Tribolium castaneum: one gene and its partners. The protein of the gene in region 2 purifies or fractionates together with the protein of the main gene of each other region. This does not show direct contact. Links are inferred from orthologs where the notes say so. Each region holds a gene or a part of one and is shown on either strand. Other genes may lie near its edges.

Region 1 (8,244 bases), on a different chromosome or scaffold from region 2:
ACATCGTCTAAAAAATGGTTGCAAGGTTTCGAAAGTTGAAATTTTAACTACCTGGGCGTATAAAATTTCGTATTCGGTTTTTTGTCGCGCTAGCCACGTACTTGTTGATTCTATCGCTCGCGGTTCTGGTGTCTGAAAAATCGGTGGGTTCTATTTTGACTCCGTAATCTTTGTGGGCAATGTCGCGGAAGTCGGTTTTCAGTTCCTGGGCTTTTGTGGTAAAAATAGCGTTGTAGATGTCTAGGTTCACCCCGTCGTCTTTTTCCTACAAAGTTGGTGAATATTAAGGATCGGAACAATAACGCAACTACCGATAAAAGGGCCGACAAATTTTTGAAGCTGTTCCTAAACATAGCCTTGTCGGGAAAGCTTGGTATCCTGAGGACGCTTTCCATCTGTTTGGCCGTTTTGTCCTTTGCTCCTTCATCGATGATCGAGAGAAGTGTCCACACTGTGTACGGAGACAGTGCTAAGTTCCGTGGACTTCTCGGTTCTTTACTGGTAGCCTGACATCATTAACATAATTAAATAAATAACCAAGGTTATTAACTCACCGCTAGTAAATCGATTGCAAACGCATTCGACGAGTCGCTGATACTTTGGGCCTTAATGCAAAAAATCACCGTCGCCCAGATGAAAATCGGTACTAAAATATTCGATTAAATGTAACAAAGGATCGTGTAGATCGCGTCAATAAAACGTTCAAGGTGAAACACAATAGAATAACGTGAACTTTGCTGTTTCGGCAAAAACTTACACTTTCTCTTCAAATCCATGTTGTTGTTGGTACATCAGCAACTGCAGTGCCTTCCTCACAAGCGATTAGAAAACACTGGATGCAATTAAACTCGTCGGCGGTAATTTGCGTTCAACTCGTTTTGTGAAGAAATTTTGATATCCCCCGAGTTAGCGCGGTTGACCTTTATCTGTTAACTATCCCGTTAATATTTTTTCCTTTTATAGCACAAATTTTAGTGTTTATCCTAATACTTACGCACGTACACAGCCAGAACGTCTTACCAGCTTGTTAAAGATATTCATTGGGTTTTTCCCAGCGACTTGAATCTCGAACAGTTCCTTGCTTTTTCAACGAAGACGGATTTATATCTAAATTTAGTAACTGTTGATAGGTATAAATCAACTCATTGATTTACCAATACGTAAATCAACTCGAAGAACTTATTAGTAATGTGTACCTATCGGTTTCCCATTTGGCTATCCCTCTCTTGAAACCATCAACATCCGGAAACTTGTTTCAAATAAAAAAATTGATGTCACTCGTTATTGTATGGAGATATGACTAGTCATTTCATACCATAATTGAGGGAATTAACAATCAAATAGCCACTATTTGCAATATTATGTAAAAATAAATCAGCTTGGAGCTAGTTCTTGAAGCGAGTTGAAAAAAATATTTCCTTGATTTTTCGAAGGTAGGTAAGTGGGTTCGTAACTATCAAAACCGTAAAAATTTTCAATCAACTTTAGATCGTAAAATTATTTCAAATATGGTTTTCTACAGACGTAAATGTGCGATGATGTATTTTACAACACTCTAGGATAAACAGTTTTCGAGAATAAATCGTTTTAAATTATTGAGACAAGTTAAAAAGTTACACATATTAGATTATAGCGGAATTTAATTTTTTTCACAATTTTATCGATTTTCAAGATGGTTTGGTTGTACGATAATGACAACAATAGAAAAATATAAAGCAGATTTAATTCGTTTGATCAAAAATCAACCCTCTGGTACAGGACTAATTACGATATTTTTATTTTCTGGTTAAGCAAAAACTTTTAAATAAAAACCATCTTTGTCTCCACTTGAAACCCTCCATTTTTTTGGTGATTTTGTCAAGACGTGTCTTTTTTAATGACAAAATCGCGCTTTTCGGAAATGACTGATTTTTCAAATTTTTTTCGGCATTATTTTTTTTCAAAGTTGGCCGTTTTGAAAAAAAAGAACTTTGCGTGAGTGAGAGGCTTGATACGACATCTGTAGTTTGTCCATCAAAACTACACAACTAAAGGCCGCTTCACAAAACAATTAATTAATGTGACGTAAGTAGCAACTTAATTCGAATTAATTTATTCTTGAATTATAAGTTTTAATCCGCTTTTTTTAAATATTTGCATTCATATTTTAATTCGCGTAACAATTTAATTTGAGTTAATTTAGCATTAATAAATCGATGAAAGTCCATTTTGGATATTGCATCTTAGTTGGAGAATTGTTCGGCCCCCACTGCGTGCATTCGTGTCTCTTGAGAAATTAGCTACGCCAAAACCATTAGAAGATTTTGTAATAAAATAACCAACAGTTGAGTTGAAGCTCAACTAGAATTCGCTTTCTGGTTGGGAAACAAAAATTTGAACCCATTTATTGCGTTTACTTTTATTGTAAAGTAAATTATTTGCGAATGAAAACAATAAAATGTCGGTTCATGTATCATTGCACTTGTAACGAAATTGATTTGTCGATCGAGACGTCTTAATTGATTCGCCAAGCAATCACATTGCTGAAAAACTGGTTCTGCGGCGATGTGTGAATGCAATTGCAGGGCCTGGGCCAACCCACTCGCATCTCCCAAACCACTTCCCTGATAGTGGGGACATTTCACCGAATACTCCACCAAACAAAGCGGTCAAAGCGTCAAAAGACGCACTCTTTTCGTCTTTGTGACACTCATAAATAATAATAATAATAAATAATAAGATTATGTATTGCTGTAAAGAGCACTTTTGGCACAATTATAAGACAAAATATTGTTTTATATCCGATTTTGATATTGTTTTTGATTAAGTGGATATTGTATTGCTGGTTATACCTGCCTGTCTATACTTTGTAATACGATTACCTTTTGTTCTGAAAGTTTTGTGTAATTCAATCGGCTTCACAGTTGTTGATGCAGTTCTATATTTCTTTGTTGTAGAAAAATGAAATCGTAAAATGTATGATGTGATTTTCTACGTTCCAATGTCGGCCAATACACAATAGAAAATAGTTATTGAAAAAAAGTTAGTTTCCAGTGCAGACATGCAATTAGTCACGTTGTCTCATCATCGCTTCCTGGTAGTGAAAGTTAATAACATCTGATAAGAACTCGCAGATTATCATCCACACGATAAGCTTTGGTGGTTTGAAATGTAGTAGCAAAGCAAATCATTTACCACCTGCCTACTCACGAAATTATCTTTTAATTTGTTTTAAATGTTTAGGTACAGTTAAGTTTCGAGCTTTGAAAATACAAATATTATGAGAAATTTTTGGTTTTTGTTTTCTCTGTATGAAATTATGATTTTTATGTGAAAGCACTACAAGTGTGGCATTGTGTAGTGATTTCGATTATATTGACGTAATTACGCCGGCTGGCATAACTTTTGAGAAGTCAATGACCCTTAATTGTTGAGTCAAGGACGAACTGGCGTGAATATATTTTTCGGAAGGGTTTTGTGAGGGGTGGAAGTGAATAAAGTGGTGAAAAAACGTAAAAGTGTTTGTTTTCTGTTTATTGTGTGCAAATGATTGATAATAAGCGGAGTAAAAAAATATTTGTTTGAAATTTCGAAAATGGGCGGCTCTAACTGGCTGGGATAGACCAATGGTGTCCGGGTAAATTTGAGTCGAGGAGGGTCGAAGACGGCCGAGAGGTTTTGTGCAGGCAAGCAGCGCCACCAGTTGGAGCACTAGCACTAGATCGGAAATATGGCTGTAAAATAACCAAAATCCCTTTGTTATAGTTAAAATGTTTTTGTATTAAAGTGGAGGCCAAACGCGTGTCGCTGGTGGTTGGCGGCTCAGGATGTGGAAAAGGGTCCAGTGCGAGTAAGTCCGTGTATTAGTTAGTGGTGCGTGCTAGTGATGGTTGGCCATCAACCTCTGGGCTTGGGGAAAATGAAACGCGCTAGAGATGTCTAGCGCTGCAGTGGCCAACTCGTTGAAGATGCCGATGTCCCGCACCCAGCTGTTCTCCTCGCACTCGTACCTGGCCGAGGGGGGCGGCCTGCCCCCGCTGAAGCCGGCGGCGAAGGAGCAGAGCCCGCCCGCCGCCGCCGCCCCCGGCGGGCTGCCCGAGCTGCAGGTGGTGGGCTCGTGCGCGCTGCAGTGCATGCAGCCGCACATGCTGCGCCCCAAGGGCTCCCCCGGGCCCCCCGACAAGCACAAGACCATGGTGGCCACCCCCGACCAGGTGATGAAGCTCTACATGAACAAGCTGACGCCCTACGAGCACCACGAGATCTTCAACTTCTCCCAGATCTACTTCATCGGGGCCAACGCCAAGAAGCGGCCCGGGATCATCGGAAACCCCAACAACTGCGAGTACGACAACGACCAGGGCTCCTACCTGCACATTCCCCACGACCACGTCGCCTACCGCTACGAGGTGCTCAAGGTGATCGGGAAGGGCTCCTTCGGCCAGGTGGTGAAGGCCTACGACCACAAGAACCACATGCATGTGGCCCTCAAGATGGTCCGCAACGAGAAGCGCTTCCACAGGCAGGCTCAGGAGGAGGTGCGCATCCTGGAGCATCTCCGGAAGCAAGATAAAGACAACACGATGAATATCATACATATGTTGGATTCGTTCACGTTTCGTAACCACATGTGCATCACTTTCGAACTTTTGTCCATCAATCTCTATGAACTTATCAAGAAAAACAAGTTTCAGGGCTTTAGTCTACAGCTAGTACGCAAATTTAGTCATTCGCTACTACAATGCCTTGATGCGCTTAACAAAAACAAAATTATACACTGCGATATGAAACCGGAAAATGTTCTGCTGAAACAACAAGGAAGAAGTGGACTCAAGGTTAGTACAACCATGCTACACCCCCCAAATTCACAACAATGCCAAAAACTCACATCCACGTGTGGGTGGAACACATGCATTTCAAAAACTACAAAACAAACCTAACAGTTTTAGTTTTTTATTTTTATTCATATTGTGGGGTTGAAACTGGGCTAGAAATGAAATTGTACATTTATCAATTTTTTATCGAAATTTAATTCGGATTTAATGGACAACAAAGACTAACTTTACATATCGCACATCCGGAAGAGAGGCAAAACTAATTAATTATTAAAAATTTCAAATAAATTTGCCGGCTCATGGCTGCAATATAACTATATCTTTCGGTTTTATATTACGAAAGATAATTATTTAATGTTTGACATTTTTGCACGTGCGAATGTTCTTCCGCAGGTGCGATTAATTATCGCAAAAATATTCGCATAGTTATGTGAAGATTTGCAAAATTGGCAATAACACTTTTTCCTCTGATAACATTTACCATCAGAGATTAGGTAAGTATTTAAAATGTGCACACTCACGGGGAAATTCGTAATCTAAATCTTCGTCACAGAAATGTAGGAAACTGAGGAAATTGAATAAACATACAGGGTTGTTCTAATAATAATAATAATAATAATAATAATAACTCTACACGTAGTAAAAAAAACACGTCAACAGATACATTAAAATGACAACCGAAGTGGTACTTAAAATCTACAAATTTTGGAAATTTTTTTGAAAACACACGATACAAAGTATTAATCTATGAGTTCTGTTCGTTATAACCGGGTCCCACTGTAATAGTTTTGGGAACTGCAGTTGTCGGAGGATAATTGCCAGTAGTTTGGAACATTTATTGATGCTCAAAAACTGATCGAGTGCAGATATGGGAAAGCATTGCTATTCTATAATAAATAAATGGGAAGTGTGGTAAAAAATAAATCACTCTTGATTTTGTCTGAGCCAAATAAAGCGTAACTCAACATTATCCGTAACTACAATCTAGCAATTGAAAGACTATAACTAGTTATTAACAATAAGTCTGACTTCCTGTTTGGTCCAGGTATTTATTATCCTGTATATGCTTCACATAGACTGGTCACGATATTTGATGCATCGTTGCTTTTTCATTATAGTTGTAGAAATGGTGGTTTTTTGTCACTGAATACAATAGTGAAAACAAAGAAAAACATGTTCTTACTGAGACAAAATTAAAATTAAACGCCAGAGGAACTGTGCTACAATAAATTTAAACTCGGCGACACTAATCTAAACTTAGCTTTCTAAACAAAACAATGATTTCTTGTTTTGGTTAATTGATCAGATTAGAACGTGATGAATACCCCGATTGTTTTGAATATAAGGCAAACCGCAAGTTTAATACAATTTTATCGTATTCAGTTACCGAGTGCAATATTCGCCAATATCGATCGGTTTTGACAAGAGCACTTTCTACGAATTGATTGTATCTCAGCGAAAGATTGTCACTCTTGACAGCCATAAATTTGGACTTTATTATTTTAGAAACTGCACTTAACCATGAACAATGTGTCTTAAGTTCAACATACCTAACTATGAAGCACTTAAGTGGAAAGAAATCTACGACAGCGTCTTGGACAGGTTTTCGGCTTTATTTTATTGTGGCCTGTTCTAAATCTTCAAAGTGCTTTATTGTGGGTAACCCACTTCTATAAAATTTGTCATAAATCGGTTTAAAATTATGCCAAGGCAATACTATGGCAAATATGGATGCAATCCATTGTGAACTTGTGTTTATTGTTTGCAAAATTCTGCAATTGCACCTACATAAACATCGTTTCGTAATATAAAATATTGCCCAATTTTGGGATTTGATGTAGATTAGATAAAATCTGTTTCTTATCAAACAATCAAACTAATCACAGTCAATATGGAAATATTCCACTAAGAATCGGTTTAGAAGCCTCTAGAAGCGCGAAATGTCATTATTGTTATTATAGCGTGTCTGTTTTTGACACATTTGCATAATATTGCATGCAACGTTCAAATATGCAAACCACAATTATTATTTTGACGTATCAATACACAGAATAGACGCTTCTAATGGTCAGGCTTGCAAAACACTATTGATTTAATTTGTTTTTTTATAGTCAAGCATAATACTAATTTTAGATATTTATATTTTCACCTATCACGAAAGCGCGTGTATGTGACAACCGAAAACATTACTTTATAATGTGGTGAATTAAATCTGCCAAACTTTTGAATGAACCATTTATTAAATTAAAAATAATAACAATAACGGAATATTCAAATACATATTTTGGTTTTATTGTTGACTTATAATTTCAAATTGTTCTAATTTTTTATGTATGTGTACATAAATAAATAAAAAATGTATTATTTCTTGAAACAAGAGATGCGTAACACCGTCATTATTAGTTGCGTTCCAATGAAAAATGGCGTCTATCCTATTATTTAATAAATTCAGATTGTGCAAGTTTATTTATATTATGAAATTAATACAAAGAAACTATTCTGATTATTTTAGATTAAATTTTCTTATAATGATGCGTATTCACCTTTTATTTCAAAGAAATACGATTAATTGAATTAACGAAATGCTGCTCTTTGTGTGATGGATTGAAAATATGCACATCATTTAAGAATAAAATAAAACTACTCACGTAGCTTGGACTGGAAAAAGTGTCCATTTGTCTCGATATAAGTTTGTGCAGCGCTCGATTAAAATTGTTATTAAATTTATTGTTCTGTTGTGATTGCCATGGTAGAATAATAAATATAATCACAATTTCAATAGAGCTCGTCACGAGACTGGTAAATATTTTTCTTTGGTTAGTTAGAGGTTTTTGCGATTTCATCAGTTGTTTCAAATGATAGGTAGGTATACAACTAAAGCAGTACTTATGAAGGCATTTTTTTATTTAAAAACATACATTTATTCTTAATTTTTTTTAATTATTACCAGAGTATACAGTGGAGATATAAATTTTGCTTTCTTATTCTCCGATATTATCGGAGAATTGGATCAAAAATCCAAGTTTATTCCTTTTTCAAGGCGTTTCAGTTTGACTCACAGTTTCCACAGTTAAATCTAAAAAATAGTTAGGGGATTAAATTGTGGATGTCGCGATGTTATTTTTATAAATATTTTTAGTGGATCTTTGTATTCAGACTATACGTTTTGTTGTGTGTAGGGAAATTCTTCCTAGGTTTATTTTTAATTTTGATAAATTTGAAACTTAAAATATTGAAATGGTTCCAAAAGAATTAATTTCGATGTCAATATTTCAGCGCGGCGTGAGTTTTTTGTTTTGTCCAACTTATTAGCAATTTTTTCCGCCTCGCTTAATTTTTGTTGTTGCAGGTGATAGATTTTGGTTCCTCCTGCTACGAACAAAACCGCGTGTACACGTACATCCAGTCCCGTTTCTACCGCGCCCCGGAG
Region 2 (8,193 bases):
TTAACACGTTTTACTTCCGTGACTACCACACAATATTCATTAAAATTTTTGACACTTAAAAATATCAAATTTGTCCAATTTCCGGAATTAATCCATTTCGGAAGCACAACTACCATAACTCAGCGTTCGAAAAGTTGTTTATTTAAATATTCAAAGGACGTGTTCTAGGTGTAAATCACCTGAAAACGATCGCTTTGGAGGTCGGTTATATCCACGAAAATTGTTTTTCCAAATTAAGAATTAGGTCATTATTACTAGATCCGGAGTTTGGTACCGGAGCGCGTGCCGCACGCCGGTCCGGGCAAAATAGCGGACCCGACTAGACTTATTTAAGAAATCGCTCCGGAGGATGCTGAAACAGTAAGCACGGTACGCGCTGACAGTAAAGATTGAGAGTTCTGAGAGTGGTGTGGTTTGTGGGTGATTATTTGATTTTACATTTAAAACCATGGACAACAAAGGTTTTGAATCAGATAACGTGAGTTTGGCTTTTTTGCTTCGCGATAAGAAATTTATCGGCCAGTTTTTTTTTTTGGTAAAAAATTTCTGATTGAATTCGTGCACTGATAAATCTCGTAAATAGTTGGTAAATTTCACGCATTGACATTGATCCTGACGAAGGCGAAATACACCTCCCACGCAATAAAAATGCATCATTTTCACACTTGGACAATTAACCCGATTTTGCAACATTCAATTGCAAAGGATGTGATTAATGCACTCGTATTTCGTGCTGTGGCAATTAAAGTTTTAATTAAGAGAAAACACGGTGCATTCATGATTTAAAGGGTCTCTCGGCTTGAGAAAAAATGCATGACGTTGAAACCCTACCCAAAACCTTGACTCAGTTCCTTAATTACATCAAATCACAACGGACAATTAATAAACAAAACAGAAAAAATAATTACAGCTCGCAGCTCGTGAAAGTAACTTCCTTGTGAAAAAATCGTCCCTTTTGAATCAATAATTTTTTCGCCGTGCACGGCCGATTAAAATAAATGAGAAGTTTGTTGTGTAAACACGCATCCTCTTGTTTTCCCATTATTTAAAATAAGGTAAACAGACTGGCATTGACCCGAAAACACGATTAAAATTATAACTTTAAATGAAGATTTTTCAACAAAAAATCCAAGAGTCGCACCACCCCGGAAATTTTCACTCACATGTTTATGTAAGCAAATGAGGAAGTAGTAAAAATGAGCGAATATCACTCGAATTAATTCAGAGCCGAAATGCTCGCTCTAATAATTTCACCAAACCCGGGAGAAAGGATGATTATAAATATTGTTGGTGATAATGATTCGTTTCGTGCATAGTAACTATTCAATAAATTAGAATATCTAGATTGTCTACTGAGATGTGCAGTGGAGGTCGCCTTCGAACGCAGTTAATTGATGTTGATTAATACCGCACTCATTAATCGCTTGCAATTTACATAAACCTATAAAGTTTAGGTCGCTAAACCTTCACTTGAAACTTTGTAATTTATCTTCCAATTGTTTCGTCCGAATTGTACCCTTGAACGTTTCAATATTCTTCCGACTACCAAAAAGCACCAAGCACGCGTCTCTGTTTGAATTAAGTGATTAAAACATGATGCAACAAGAAAATCCACAAATGTCGTCACTTGCAATGAGCAGAATCCGGAATGTGTCAAAACAAATATTAATGGTTTGAAGCAAGGACGGTTCGATTGTGAGAAGACGTAAATAAAAACATCGCCGAATTCCAGGAGAGAGGTTACAGTCATTATCGCCTGAAAATCATCGGAAGAATACCGAGAAAAAGGCCACTAGTGAAAAATTAGACTACAAACGGCGGCCGTGACCGAGATAAAAATGTATTAGCGTGTTTCACTGATTACTTGTCAATCTTCCCAGCTTTTATTAAGCGGGTGATTAAATTCAATGCTACCGAATCAAACAATAAAATGCCACAATGTGTATTTTTACCAACAAAGCCAATTATTACAAAATGTCATACAAACACGATCTATAAAATAAAAATGAGCGTCACGTTCGGCGCTCAATGAAAAAAACACGGGCTTAATAAGGAAATTGTACATTGATTAATAAAAAACGAGGCCGAAATCAGAATTAACATAAATTAATCCGAAATTTTTATGAACGGTACGAGAATGTACCGATTTCGTTTTGACACCTGCTTACCGTCTTGCATAATGCGATGAATTAACAATAAATACGCGACCTTCGATATTAAATAACCACTTACTTTATTACATTAATATTGATTTTTGCAGACTCCGGCAGAGCTCAACAAGAGCTGGCACATCCCCAGACCCACACTAGCTAGAAGCTCAAAGAGTTCGCAGGGTTCGACGTCTAGCAATAATAGCACACAGGTACAAATAAAAAAATTAAGACAAGAAAATCATTGGATTTTTAGAGTGCAAGGTCCGGTTCGTTACTACTGACAGCAGCAAATCTGGCCCAAATACAAAATCCGGACACGGACAAAAACACCAGACAACAAAACATTCAGTATTACCTCGAACAAACAAACAACAATGATCACATAGCACTGCCTGTTAACGATTTGAAGAAACCAGACCCAGATGCTGTTTCAGTGGCAAGTTCGATGCATTTTACCGTAGTTAATATGAACACGAGACCTGTGGTCAGGCAAAGAAGTTTCTGTCGAAAACACCAATTGACGATTCTAGTTTTGACGATGTCCGCTTTGTTTACCATAGGGATCTTGGCGGCGATATTTCTCTTAGAAAGTAAGTTCTTCCGCTTTCATTTCAGCCAATTTCCAATTTTTTATTGTTTCAGTGAGGGCGAAAAGACAACGGTACTAGGATTAGGACAAGCATCGACATTTCTCCAAAAATTGACGAAGCATTGAAATGTCGTGCGCACTTATCGTAGTTAGTTATTTAATTCCCTATTTAATTAGGTTTAGCAACTGGACCAAAATTGTGGTTGTTCTAAATCATAAGCTATCCATAAGTATTTTTTGATGTTACTGTGATATGTAAAAGCAATCATTACAGCATTGTATAGTATTTATGAACAATTTTAAGGCAGGTCCCGAACCTCCTTGGAAATCTTGTAAATTGATTTTTAATTAAATTATACAAATAAATTTTCTACAAAACTAAGACTTACCTCAACGTCTTGGAGAGTCTGCGTCCACCTGTACTTGTCCAAATCACATCCATTGCCACTGTTTGGCTTCAATTTCCCAATCTCTGAGGCATCCTCATCCTCTTCAATTTTCTCAACAGCTGGGGCCCCATTACTCACCCCACTTTTCTTAGCATCTAACTCGGCTTGCAACTTTTCAGCCTCAGCATCAGTCAATTCGGTGATTTCCGCCGGTTTTACCTTCTCCTCTTCTTGCTGTTTCTTCTTTTTGGCGGCTTCACGTTCCCGACGCTCTTTTAACTCCGTCTCGTGTTTCTTACGACTAACTTGTTCGTATTTCCTAAATGTGCTCATTACTAACTAAAAACCAGGTCATTATTTTTCGAACTGGCTTTACCCCGGACTACCTTTTCCCATGCTCCTTCCTCGCCCCCGGTGAAAAAATCCGTCTTGCGGCTTAGAAAACTCACAAAAGTGTCCAATAACTACAGTTTTGTCGTGATTTTAAGGTTAGAGTAAACAGATCGAGGCTCACCTGCGAAGCGCCGTGCGGATGGTGCTGGGCTATTGACAGGAAGAGGGAATCGAATTGCTCAGTCTGATTATCATCGCCACTCATCTTGACTGGACTTTTTTCGTGAAAAAATGGTCAAAAATCGTGGAAATTGCTAGACTTTTCTTCTATCGACCAAATATCAATTGTACCAACCAAACCAATCGGCGTGAAAACTTCCAAAAACGGTGCTTGTACCAACATTGATGGGTCAACCGAATGTGGGAATTTTAGCCAAACGGGGACCACCCTCAAATTAAAATTAAAACATGCAAAGGGGGTGTATATTTCGATAGTGCGAAGCTTATTTCCTATTCGTTAAATTTCCCAAGGGTTTATTTTAGCTCTGTTTTTTTTTTGTACCATTGGCGGCACTTTTTTAGTAACATACGTGCTCGATTTTTCAATGGAAGCCAAGAATTGTGTTTTGCGCTTTGTGAATGTGTATTGCGCCAATTTGTGAAATAATCAAACTGATTACGATTTTTTACAAGCCAGAAGTGTAGAGTTCACATTATCGCATTGTTTTTGCCAGTCTCCCGGTGTCCTAATTATCTCACCTTGCAATTACGGAACTGTAAAGTATTTTAGGTTATGTTAAACTACCTCATGCCCTTTATTTTATAACGTTTTGAGCCAATAATGTCGGAAAACAGCAATTCGACTTCTGTTATGTCAGAAGTCACAACTCTGATAAGAAACTGGGAAGATGAACATACGGCGCCTAATTATGACCCCATTCAGACACTCACCAGGTAGATCTTGCCTTAATTTGGCAAATTCTTACCCTTTTGTTGGCAGATTGGCCGAAATATGCGAGGTGGAGACTGAAAATTACCTGAAAATGGATCCTGACCCATTTGATGAACGCCACCCTTCACGAACTGATCCTGACTGCAAACTTGGCCAAATTTTAAAAGCGCTTTTTAGGAAGGATATTTTTATGAACAAAGTATTAACTCTCCACAAAAACATAAAAAGACACACATAAATATTTTTTCAGCTTGTTAACGATTATTTGAGAGAAACGTACTACTCTCGGTCAGGAATCACAGACAAGGATGTTGATCAGTTGAATATTGCAGCTTGTAGGTTGATGCTAGACGTAATGCCTGGCTTAGAGACATCAGTGGTGTTTCAAGTACGTGTCAATTATTTTTTTGGGGGGAAAACTAACGACTAGTTTCAGCCCGATATGGATAATTTGATTCACCGTTTAATTAAATGGACTACAAATTCAATAGAACCTCTGCAAAGTTACGCAACGGGGCTTTTAGCTGCTGCAATGGAAATTCCAGAAATTGCCACACGTTTTAGGTAAGTTTCCGCTTTGGTCTTATCGCAGTTAATTACCAAAAAATAGGGAACAAAACGGACGACTTGTGCCTTTACTACTTCAAAGACTGCGTAGGCTTCAAAATTCCTCGGAATTTTTGACCACGACAAATACTCGACCTTTTGCACACTTATCTTCAATGAAGTCGCCCCCTTATCGCGGTGACGGTGTCGTAAAAGTTTCACCCTCTGGTATTAAAAGGCGTACGTAACGACACCCTATTGTATTTTACCCTTCAATAATTATTCTTACAGCCCGCGAGAATGGAGTTATTCCAAATTCGAAAACAACACTTAATAAAGAAAACACTGATGTGATTAACACTAGTGAGGTAAGCGCGCCTTTTCCTCCTCGTGATATGGTCTCACGTTTAATACAGTTATCAGATTCGGAAAGCGGCCAAAAACGCAAAAAACTAAAGCTGGAGCACAATTCAAGCGAAGCTGATGAAGGCTCTCCTCAAAAACCCTTCCTATTTAACGAAACGAGCAATTCGTCGTGGGCAGAGCTTGAAAGTTTTATGATTGGAACCGTGCAAATTTTTCCGCCAACTATAGCAACGCGTCAAATACTCATTTTACGTTATTTGACACCGTTGGGTGAATATCAGGAGTTTTTGAGTCATGTTTTCGAAAATGACGCTCTTAGTTTGGTCTTAAAGTATGTGAATGTCCGAGCGACTAAAGAAGCAAGACTTGCATTTGAAGCCTTGAAATATCTTGCTGCTCTTTTATGCCACAAAAAATTCTCGATTGAGTTTATTCAAATGGATGGTCTTGAGGCACTTCTGGAGGTGCCAAGGCCGTCAATATCAGCCACTGGGGTCTCGATTTGTTTGTACTATTTGGGGTATTGTGAGGAGGCAATGGAGAGGGTTTGTCTGCTTCCGAAATACATGATCACCAGTTTAGTCAAGTAAGTCTAAGTTATACCTTACAGTTTGTAAAATCAATTAAAACTCATAATTTAAAAAAAATCTTAGGTATGCTTTATGGCTTTTGGAATGCTCACACGATTCGGGCCGATGTCATGCTATAATGTTTTTCGGTCTCACGTTTCAATTCAAAGTGATTTTGGAGGAATTTGATGCTCATGATGGGTTACGAAAGTTACACAATGTGGTAAGTTTATCCCAAGTAAAAAAAATTGTTTGCTAGAGTTATATGTACAGATTTCTACTTTATCAATTTTACTGCCGGACACCGATACGACTCAACTAAACGAAGATCAAGAGTGCGCCGCTCGTCAAATCGTTCGCCACGTTTGTGTTGCATACCGTCGTTACCTTGAAGCTCATCTAAACCTAAAAGTAGAACCAATTAAAAGATCACAACTTAGACTTAACGAAAAAATGGCACAGCCGCCTTTACCGGCGCAGCCGAGCTACAAACCGTACAAGTCATCGCCTGAAGAGGTGCAACAGAACGTCGAAACGTTGTTGCAATATATGCCGTTTCGGTGCCATTGGACGCCAGTTGATCAGTTACTCAAATTAGGGGGAATCACACTCTTGTTGAAAATAATCGCGTTTGCGTATGAGTGGAATTATAGTGGGAGGGCTGAGACGGTCAGGTCGGCTTTGGATACGTTGGCTATTGCGTGTGTGATGCCTAAAGTTCAATTGTTATTTTGTGATAGGGTGGAATTGCCAGAGGAGAGTGCCACAGTTGGTACGAGAAAATCACAGTTTTGGGATTTTTTATTGTTTTTTTCTTCTGTAGGGATTAATATTATTTTGGGGGCCGCTGAGGGTGAAATAGTGGCCGATGCTGATGTACAAAAGGCTGCGCTTCGAGTCATTGTCAATTGTGTGTGTGCCCCCATAAATAGGGTACGTTTTTTACCGTTTCCAGACGTTTGTTTGATTTTTTTGTTAGGTTGGTGGTACTTTAACCCGATATTCGGCCACGGTTAACAGCCCAATTAAGAAAATTAAACTCAAAAGTAGCGAAGAATTGATTCAGAGAGTTTGGGATTGTGTCAGGTCTAATAGTGGTATTATGGTTTTGTTGCAATTAATGAATATTAAAACACCAATCACTGATGCGGACTGTATACGAACTTTGGCTTGTAAAGCATTGGCCGGCTTAGCACGGTCGGAAACTGTCCGACAGATCGTGTCAAAATTACCGCTTTTTACGAGCGGACAACTGCAGAGTAAGTCTTGATACGAGGCGAATCCGAGTGGGGTAACAACTGACTTAATTGCAGATTTAATGAGGGACCCAATTTTGCAAGAAAAACGCCAAGAACATGTGACTTTCCAAAAATATGCACTTGAACTTTTGGAACGACTTTCGGGGAAAACGAAACATCGGGGAAATGACTTGGAAGTTTCTTTAGCCAACATACATAGAGCTAACGTTGTGGCTCAGACTAAAATTCAATTCAATGATCGGCAATTGTTACAACTCATCCACCAACATTTAATTACGAAAGGTTGTCCAGAAACGGCCTCTATGTTAGTGAAGGAAGCAAATTTGGGAAACTCAGTCACGCCCATTTCAACAAATCAACCAACCAAATTCCGATACTCGTCCACTCTAACACCATCTAGGGTAAGTAGCAATTCACCAAAGCTATAATTAAGTGTAACAAATGTCTTAGCTTAAGTTAAATTTCACTCCAATGCAACACCGCACAATACCGCAGTCACCAGTGCAAAAGGAGGAGACATCGTTTATTAATAGTTCCAACTGTACTTCCCCTGCTATTAAATTAATAAAGTATGGTCGTCATTGTAGATAATTATCATATTTTTTGCTAAGAAAAAATTTCAGGAAACACCAAAATCAAGTGGTCGCGACACCACCGGTCCAAAACTCCCGATTACAGAAACAAACGAATAGCGATGTTGTAGTTAGGGTGCCGAGTCAGAGCTTGCTTGACGAACCGACGAATCCACCCGAACAGCCCCGAGTCACGCTCGATTCGATCATAACCGAGTATTTAACCAATCAGCATGCGTTATGTAAAAACCCCATGGCCAACTGTCCCAAATTCAATCTCTTTATGTAAGTTTAAACTCCTATGATTGGTTGTGTTTCTGATGGTGTTTTCTAGTCCACATAAATGCCCAGACCCTAAACCAAAGATAGCCTCAGCCAATAATTTTGTGGTGAGGTGTGCGCGACGTGCTATTGGGTATCAGTCCAAGTCTATGGACCGGAAATTTATTCATTCGAGATTTTGTC
Region 3 (8,191 bases), about 14 Mb from region 2:
ACTCTTAGTGAAATTGCTAAAAATGAAACTTTACAATACATCACGCAACAACAGAAGCAATTTAAGTTGATTGGCAAGAAGACCAAGGAACTGGAAAAATTACTAACGAACCAAATGGAAGAAATAAAGAAACTGGAGTCGAAAGTTTTAGCCAAGAGTCGAGAAAGCATACAAAAATCGAAATAAATCTAGAAAATGTTTATTTAACCAATAAAAATTTGACATTATGGTTTGGTGTTTATTTCCCATTTTGGTTATTATCTATCTTATAAAACAGACTTTTGGATTTTTGCATTTTTTTCTTTTTAAATCTCTTCGTATTTCGATGGTTAAATTTTTTTTGTGCATTTTCGAAATTAGACCAAGAGTTATACCTAGAATTACTTATTTTGTTTATTTCTTTCGATTTCGGTTGGCATTTGATCGAAATTTCGTCAAAAGATAATCTGAAAAAACAATTTGGTAGAACATTCTGTTATTTTTACCGTTTTTAACGTCTAAGCATATTTTAAAACCAAATCTTTGGTTTTATGAGATTTTGTTACATCAGATGCGATTTGATCTCGAAATTTTACAAAAAGTAAGTCAAAAAAGTTTAATTAGTTCAATAACAGTGATTTTGTTTTGAAAAATCAGTACATTTTTTTTGTTGGAAACTACATCATTTCTGATGTTTTCGTGTGTTTTATAACGTATGTCAGTTAGAAATAATGATTTCGCAAAATTTTATCCAAAACGGGCGGAGATATTTCAAGTAAAGTTAAAAAATAATATTTAATTTGCCTTTTTACAGTGTTTAACCACGTTTTTGATGTGAAAACCAAGCATTAACAATATCACCAGAAAAACAAAAAACTTGTCGAAAATACATATTAGCTGTTTCGAATCTATAAAAATATGTCGCATTTTAGTTATTAATCATTAGATCTCTATCATTGAAAGTACAAATTGCATTAGCTATCAATATTTTGATATTTTGAAGTGCATGAATAATTTATAACAGCTAATTTTGAGAGAAAATGCGACGTTGCCGTTTTTATATTTTTCACACAGCAATAGTGACTATTAGTTTTTGAACAAAACAATTACTTTGAAAGTGGCGGAATTAGGTCGAACATGATCTTATTTTTTTGTTTGAGTCCATATTTATGTCATCAAAAAATAAACTGACAAAACCTATAAATTGGTAGAAAATGTATTATTTTCATCTTTTTCAATGTCTACCCCTGCTGTTTGAAAACTGTACGTGTATTTTTAGTTTTTTTAATGATATTAATTTAGTCTGGTTTGAAAGTCTCAGCATACACAATTTTCTCCAAAATTGTGTAAAGAATTAAGCCAGAATAACAATAAATTACTGGCAAAAATTGTGGTCTTGTTCTAAATGGTCGGTGAGTTGTGTTAGAAGTTGTATTACTATTTTTACTTTTTTTGATGATTGCGAGTTAGAAGAACTATTATTTCGCAAAATTATTTTGTTAAAAACAGGACGAAGATTTATCAAATTAAGCCAAAAATTATGTTATCAGATAAGTTTGCCTTTTCCCACTGCATAAGCAAGCACGTATTTTAAACAATTACAGAATTAGGTCGGAAGCGATATAATTTTGGTTGTATCACTCGATTTTAGTTGATTGTAATTTCGTCAAAAAATAAAACACAAAACAAAATTTTGTTCAAATTTTGTTTCAACTTTACCAGCCAACATGACCAGAAAATATATGTTGGTTGTTTAGGGCAGGGAGTAATTAAAATTTATAATTTTGCGACGTTTCGATTTTTTATTAAATCTTCATCAGACACTCCCTACCCTAAACAACCAACAAATCTTTCCCGTTTTTATAAGCATATTTTAAAATAAAATTTTTAGTTTACTGATCTTTGATCTAGAAATTTCTGTCGGATTTTGCCGTTTTTTTAAGTATTTTAGCATGTACGGTTTTCTCTCGAAATTAAAACACAATAGTCAATAATAATTAGTTCCTTCAAAGATAGTGGTCAGTCAGTTAAAAATCCAAAATTTCGTTAAAAACTGTTTGAAAATATTTTTTTTGTAATTTGCCGCCCTTTTGATGTTTCAATGGGCATCTTAAAGCACGCAACGTTATCAAGAGCGATGTCATAATAAGATTAAGACTCGTCTTATAAAACTTGTTTTTAATGTACTATAAATTAGGTCAAAAATGATGTTAAATTTGCCTTTTTACAGTGTTTAAGCACGTTTTTGAAGTAAAAACAAAGTTTTTTCAACAGTAGCGCCAAACAAATAACAACTTTGTCAAAAATGAAGTTTTCAAACTAAATTGTCAGTTTTTTTGAGATTTATTTTATTTTATTATTCTTTTTGTCATTTTCGAGCGTTTTGCTAAAAACAAACAGAAAATGAGAAAGTTTTGCCGAACATATTTTAATTATTTTTGCCTTTTTTGATTTTTATTGGCGTGTTTATCTTTAGGTCATTCAACAATTCAATAAAGAGTTTGAAATTGAAATAGGCAAAGAAATCAATAAAAATGAGTTTTTTTAACAAAAAAATTGATTAAAGACATAAAAGCCCATTTAGCTACGTTTTCGTTCCAGAAAAAATGAGCACCCAAAAAGGTAACGCCCAAAGGAGTCGCTCCCAAAAACATCAAAACAAAACCGCCTTCAAAAACACCCTCCACGACACAAGTCAACGCACGAAAAACATTAACAACATCCAAATCAGCGACGTTTGTGTCCGTTGCAAGGAAATAATCGAGTGGAAAATAAAGTACAAAAAATACAAACCGCTCACACAGCCACGAAAATGTGTCAGATGTGATCAGAAAAACGTGAAGAAAGCGTATCATGTGATGTGTACAGACTGTGGAAAAAAATTTGGTGTTTGTACAAAATGTTGTGAAACGAAAGAAGTTATTACAACAAAACCGGACGAAAAGGAACAACTCAAACTGGACAACGAAATGAAGAATTTGCTACATACGCTTCCGGAACGCAAACGGAGGACGTTTTTGAGGTACATGAGCAAAAAAAGTGAGGAAGATTCGACGAATGACGAGGAGAGAAAGGAAGATTTGAAAAGCAAACTCAACGCGCTTAAGATTGACGATGACTTGGACGACTTCAGCGATTTTGATGACGTTGATTCGTCGGATGATTAAATTTTGTAATATATTGGTTGTAGAATTTAATTAAAATAATAAAATAAAAGAGCGAATATTTTTATTTGTTGCACCACGTTCTGTCAAAGCGATCTTATTTGTCATTTCGGTTAATTATCTTGTAATAAATTATATGCGTCCTACAGAAATAATGGAAGTGATGACGTTAATTCGTCTAATGAGTAAATTTAATTAGGTATTTGAATTTAATAAAATTTGAGGAATATGTTAATATGTTGCGTTTAAGTTTGGCGCCACTTGTGACATTGACATCTGTCAAAGGGTCAAAGCGCTGTCATTTGTCATTTTGTTAGCGGTGTTATTTATACATTTTGATTCAATTTCTTGTAATAATTAATATGAGTACGAAAGAATCAATGGAAATGGAAGTCGATAATCCGGCTTCTGCTGATGTTGCAAATAATCCGGCGGAAGATTCGGAAAAAAGTGTGATGGCAGCTGGGGCTGTCGGTTCTGTGACTTGTTCATTGCACCCTTTGGTGATAATGAATGTTTCTGAGCACTGGACACGTGAAAAGGCTCAAGAGGGCTCAGTCCAACGAGGTACGACACCATTTACAGTATAGTTAGTTATTTATAATGTTACATTTTAAGTGATTGGGGCTTTGATTGGTAAACAGAAGGGGCGAAACATTGAAATAATGAACTCATTTGAACTGGTATTTAGTGTAATTGGAGGGGATGTTATTATCGACAGGGATTATTACAACATGAAGGAAGAACAATGTAAGTATGTACCGTGTGGTCAACGGAATTTGTAATCACTAATCAGAGTAGGGAAGATTTTTTCTGTATGGTTGGTTGCGTTTGTTGTAATTGAGACTCATTTATTTCTTCAATTTCATTGAATAAGATCTGTTGTAAATTATAATGAAGTTTAGCCAGACTGCAAATTTTTTGTGGGAGGTAGGCAACGTTTAGGGTTACCATCAGATTTTTTTTAGCTTTGGACACCACAATAAAATGACTAACAACAATAACTTACATTCTTATATTATCGTATTATCGTATATAAAATACTCTGGTAATGGCATCTTATTACCTGACTTCTCGTTTGTATTAAGAATTTTTACTTAGTTTAATAAAAATAAATTTATTTTCAAATAAAATATTACAAAACCAAAAAAACATTGCCAATAGTTTTAATAGTATGTACTGATACAAGAAATATAACAAACAGCATTAGTATAAAAAATATTGTAGTAATAATATTGTACAGAGTGCTGTATTTTGGATGTCGGAATAGGAGATCTCCGAAACTAAGAGATTTAGAGAAAAACAAGTGACACATTCTTGGGTCCGTTTTTTGAGAATATAATCTTGGTCTAAACCGCATCTTGCTATCGTTTTTTGTTTTCGACTTATAAACAAAAGTTGACATTTTAGTGTCAACTTTATACAGAAAAAGCGAAATGTATTTTTTTTAATATTTAAAAAGAATGTATTACACATCAAATCAGAAAAAAATTAGCTTTACAAAAATATTACAGCCTCCTATAATTCATATTTAAAAAAATAAAACTTATTACAGCTAAACGAAAGGTTAAAAAAATCGCTGATAACATTTTTAAATTCTCTGTAAAAAGTGCTTGTATAATGTTTGTGTTTCAAATGTGTATCTTTTATAATAAGGAAGATATATATGATTTTTTTTAAGATTTCGTTAAAATGTCAAGTTCTGTTGATAAGTCGAAAACAAAAGATGATAGCGGGATGCGGTTGACCAAAATTATTTTTTAAAAAAACGGACCAGAAAATGTGTCACTTGTTTTTCTCTAAATCTCTTAGTTTTGGAGTTCCCCTATTCCGACATCTAAAATGCAGCAGCCTGTACAATGAGTGTTAGAATGATTCACATCTAATCATCTGTGAATTTCTCATGTAAAAGAACATATAACTAATGATAGGCATTTAGACATTGAATATTAACATTCTGTATTTATTATTTCAAAGTTAACTAGATGAGAATCATTTAAAAACACATTGTATAAACAGTAAACCACCTTTCTGCATCATTTTTTTTGCAAAACTATCCGGTATCCTGTTTGCAAAATGTAAATTCAATTTTTAGAAGTTGTATATCTACATTTTTCCAATTCACTCCAAGTTTTTTTTAATATTCAAAGTATTTGTTGGAAACAACTAGATAGTTTCGAATTCAGAAAAATTACAGATGGAATTAAGCGTTCTATCGCAGAGTTTTTAAAATTGGTCGTTAATTTTAATTTTAGATACAACAAAATTTAAATTACCCTAAGAAAACTGGACATTTATTACAAATTAACATTTGATCCGGATACCGGACATATCGTCTAATATCCGGATTGTATTGAGTGAAAACCGGACAGGTGGCAACTCTAACAAGGTTGCTATAAACTGTAAAGTATGGATACAGTAGCTGAAAATTTTATAAACAGTAAAGTTCATGTAAATGCGGAATAATATTTTTCTGACTCCTGTGAGTTCGCAGTAAAGCGATGGCAGTCCATTTACCGAATACGGTGTATATATTTTTTCATTTTTTTTTTTATTAATTTTTCTCAAGTTTTGCGCTTAGTTATGACAATTATTCGCCTTTCAAGTTAAGACCTTTGGTTTTTCTGGTTGTTAATTGTGAAATGCTGCTTTGCCATATAGCGGGAAATTTAAATGTAATTTTTTTGAAAAGGTACAAACGTTTTTTGTCTGTTTGACACTTTTAATAGATCTTTTATGGTACTCTAGCTGCCAAAATCAAATTTCGCAAGGGAGTGGTTCACCAGAGAGCGCAGAGATCTTGGCTTGAAAGGTGAATACAAATAATAAAAATAAGAAAACTACTCTTATTGTAAATTCAAACACTAGAAAACACAAAAATTGTTTGTTAACAATCTATTGCAGTCAAGCAGGTGTTCAGTGACATGGATTTCATTGGTTGGTACACCACCGGAGACATCCCCAACACCACTGACATTAAAATCCATAAGCAAATATGCGACATTAATGAATCTCCAATTTTGCTTAAATTAAATCCCTACGACAAAAACATTGATGTTCGTACACAGGCTGCATTTTAAGTGTTAGTTTTAACATAATTATTTTAGCATTTGCCGGTTGCTCTTTACGAGTCTGTAATTGATTTGATTGGGGGCGAAGCAACAATGTTATTTGTTAATTTGTCTTATACTCTGGCAACCGAAGAAGCAGAAAGAATTGGAGTAGATCATGTGGCGAGAATGTCTTCAACGGACTCAGGAGAAAGCTCTCTTGTTGCAGAGCATTTGACAGCGCAACACAGTGCTATCAAAATGTTGCATTCTAGAGTTAGGCTGGTTTTAGAGTATATGAAAGCTGTACAAAGTGGACAGTTGCCTACAAATCACGAGATTTTACGAGAGGCTTATTCGTTGTGTCACCGATTACCTGTTATACAAAGTGCAAGGTTTCGACAAGATTTTTATAATGTAAGTATTTTTTGCACACGTAGTTTTTAGTTATCTGGAAAGCAATTTTCCACATTTTTGGCCGCGACAACTGTCATTGACATGTTTGCTCGTCGAAATATGAATTTATCGAAGAACTGTCGTCGGCCAAAAAGTTTTGTACGTTAGGTATTTTACAGCGTTCAGTTTTTGTCAATATTAAAACTTCACGCTGTGAAATTAAACCTATCGCACGTATAATGTAAATAAATAACTATTGTTGTACTTACTGTCACGTGTTTTTACAGCAATGCAACGATGTGGGCCTTATGACGTATTTAGGGACTTTAACAAAGGGCTGTAATGATCTCAACCAGTTTGTGAACAAATTCAACATTTTGTATGACAGACAAGGACTGGGCAGGAGGATGAGAGGAATTTTCTTTTAATTCGTAAAAAAAGCAATTTTATTTATAACCCTCAGTTCTGTATTAAAGTTTCTATTAAACAATCCTTCCATATTACAAATTGTCTTTTATTGTATTTTGCGGCAATTTTTATCAAAAGAGCTTATAAAAGGCAATGATACTTGTATAAAAATTTTGGGAAGACTACAGTTTGTAATTTCTTCTTCACTTGAGTGGTGATTGTGTGCGGTACAGAGAGATGTTTGTGATTTTTATCACAGAAGCAATTTTTAAATAACTGTTATTAACACAACACGGTGAATACACAAAAAATCTCCCTGTTTTTACAAAATATTTGCTAACTGCTGCTTCTAAACCCCACATTAGTATAGAAGTGGTTTTTTTACACAATGATAATCTGTTAGTTCCTCTCCAACAAAAATATTTTCAAGATGGCGGCCCTTTGGCTTTATCGGAAAATCATATGTATACAGGGTGTCTCAAAATTGACGCCCGTGCTTTTAGGGTTTGCTTCAGAAAACTAAAACAAATCGAAAGCTGGAAAATTGTCTGATTGTCCTTCGTTATCGAGTTATTGATAAGAAACTAAAATTTAGATATTAAATTTTATTAAAAGCGAATTTACTAAATTTGTTGTCACAAAATAAGCTACAATGCGATTTAGAAACTTTTCCGTATATGCCCTAGCCTCTGCAGCGGCATTGCCATAATACACACCTGTAACCGAGCTTTTAACAATCGACAAATCTCGAATGTAATAATGTAGTAGTATCGTATCATTTTAAACATACAAAACCGAAAGAAATTAATAATACTCCTCACTAGACAGAGTGATTCAAAGAATTTTAACATCGCTAACGTCAACTAATGAATTATGTTCCACAAATAATTGGTAAGACATAATAAGCTTATTATTTACATTTTTCTCAATAACTCGAAAACTAAAGGCAATTGGATTTTTTTTTACTCTTAACTTTCGATTTGTTAATACAATCTAGGTAGTTAATACCTAATACTAGGTAGTTAATACTACCTAAGTCAAATTCCCAGCGCACGGTCGTCAATTTTGAGACATTCTGTATATGTTATTTAAATATTTATTTTAAATGGAAAACTGACTATTGCACTTTTGGATTACGGATGAAGTTTTTATCAGCTATATCTATACCTCAGTTTAGCCGTTCTTGAGATATTT

Evidence for each region. Proteins that work in one complex are often made in the same cells at the same time.
Region 1: the proteins of mahj (region 2) and dual specificity tyrosine-phosphorylation-regulated kinase 2 purify together in Homo sapiens (affinity purification with western blotting; 5 studies listed by BioGRID and IntAct, with this or other methods). This does not show direct contact. The link is inferred for Tribolium castaneum from reciprocal best matches to the Homo sapiens genes DCAF1 and DYRK2.
Region 3: the proteins of mahj (region 2) and CSN6 purify together in Homo sapiens (affinity purification with mass spectrometry; 7 studies listed by BioGRID and IntAct, with this or other methods). This does not show direct contact. The link is inferred for Tribolium castaneum from reciprocal best matches to the Homo sapiens genes DCAF1 and COPS6.

Annotation. Positions count from the first base shown.
Region 1 is NC_087403.1:4,164,440-4,172,683, reverse strand, and holds the start of dual specificity tyrosine-phosphorylation-regulated kinase 2, read left to right. Parts: upstream 1-3,472; 5' UTR 3,473-3,914; coding exon 3,915-4,814; intron 4,815-8,163; coding exon 8,164-8,244. Other genes in the region: serine protease inhibitor 77Ba, read right to left, coding at 1-7, 52-265, 312-506, 555-646, 758-776. UniProt on the Homo sapiens protein: Serine/threonine-protein kinase involved in the regulation of the mitotic cell cycle, cell proliferation, apoptosis, organization of the cytoskeleton and neurite outgrowth. Functions in part via its role in ubiquitin-dependent proteasomal protein degradation.
Region 2 is NC_087398.1:984,850-993,042, reverse strand, and holds the start of mahj (protein mahjong), read left to right. Parts: upstream 1-4,037; 5' UTR 4,038-4,305; coding exon 4,306-4,418; intron 4,419-4,464; coding exon 4,465-4,615; intron 4,616-4,666; coding exon 4,667-4,804; intron 4,805-4,852; coding exon 4,853-4,980; intron 4,981-5,026; coding exon 5,027-5,202; intron 5,203-5,253; coding exon 5,254-5,330; intron 5,331-5,378; coding exon 5,379-5,914; intron 5,915-5,981; coding exon 5,982-6,120; intron 6,121-6,170; coding exon 6,171-6,669; intron 6,670-6,720; coding exon 6,721-6,830; intron 6,831-6,876; coding exon 6,877-7,156; intron 7,157-7,210; coding exon 7,211-7,557; intron 7,558-7,606; coding exon 7,607-7,725; intron 7,726-7,779; coding exon 7,780-8,013; intron 8,014-8,062; coding exon 8,063-8,193. Other genes in the region: uncharacterized protein LOC656652, read left to right, coding at 449-478, 2,261-2,362, 2,407-2,743, 2,796-2,821; nuclear migration protein nudC, read right to left, coding at 3,132-3,470, 3,518-3,595, 3,646-3,729. UniProt on the Homo sapiens protein: Acts both as a substrate recognition component of E3 ubiquitin-protein ligase complexes and as an atypical serine/threonine-protein kinase, playing key roles in various processes such as cell cycle, telomerase regulation and histone modification.
Region 3 is NC_087398.1:15,418,286-15,426,476, forward strand, and holds CSN6 (COP9 signalosome complex subunit 6), read left to right. Parts: upstream 1-3,419; 5' UTR 3,420-3,505; coding exon 3,506-3,710; intron 3,711-3,761; coding exon 3,762-3,893; intron 3,894-6,047; coding exon 6,048-6,199; intron 6,200-6,250; coding exon 6,251-6,610; intron 6,611-6,876; coding exon 6,877-7,017; 3' UTR 7,018-7,096; downstream 7,097-8,191. Other genes in the region: uncharacterized protein C9orf85 homolog, read left to right, coding at 2,586-3,146. UniProt on the Homo sapiens protein: Component of the COP9 signalosome complex (CSN), a complex involved in various cellular and developmental processes.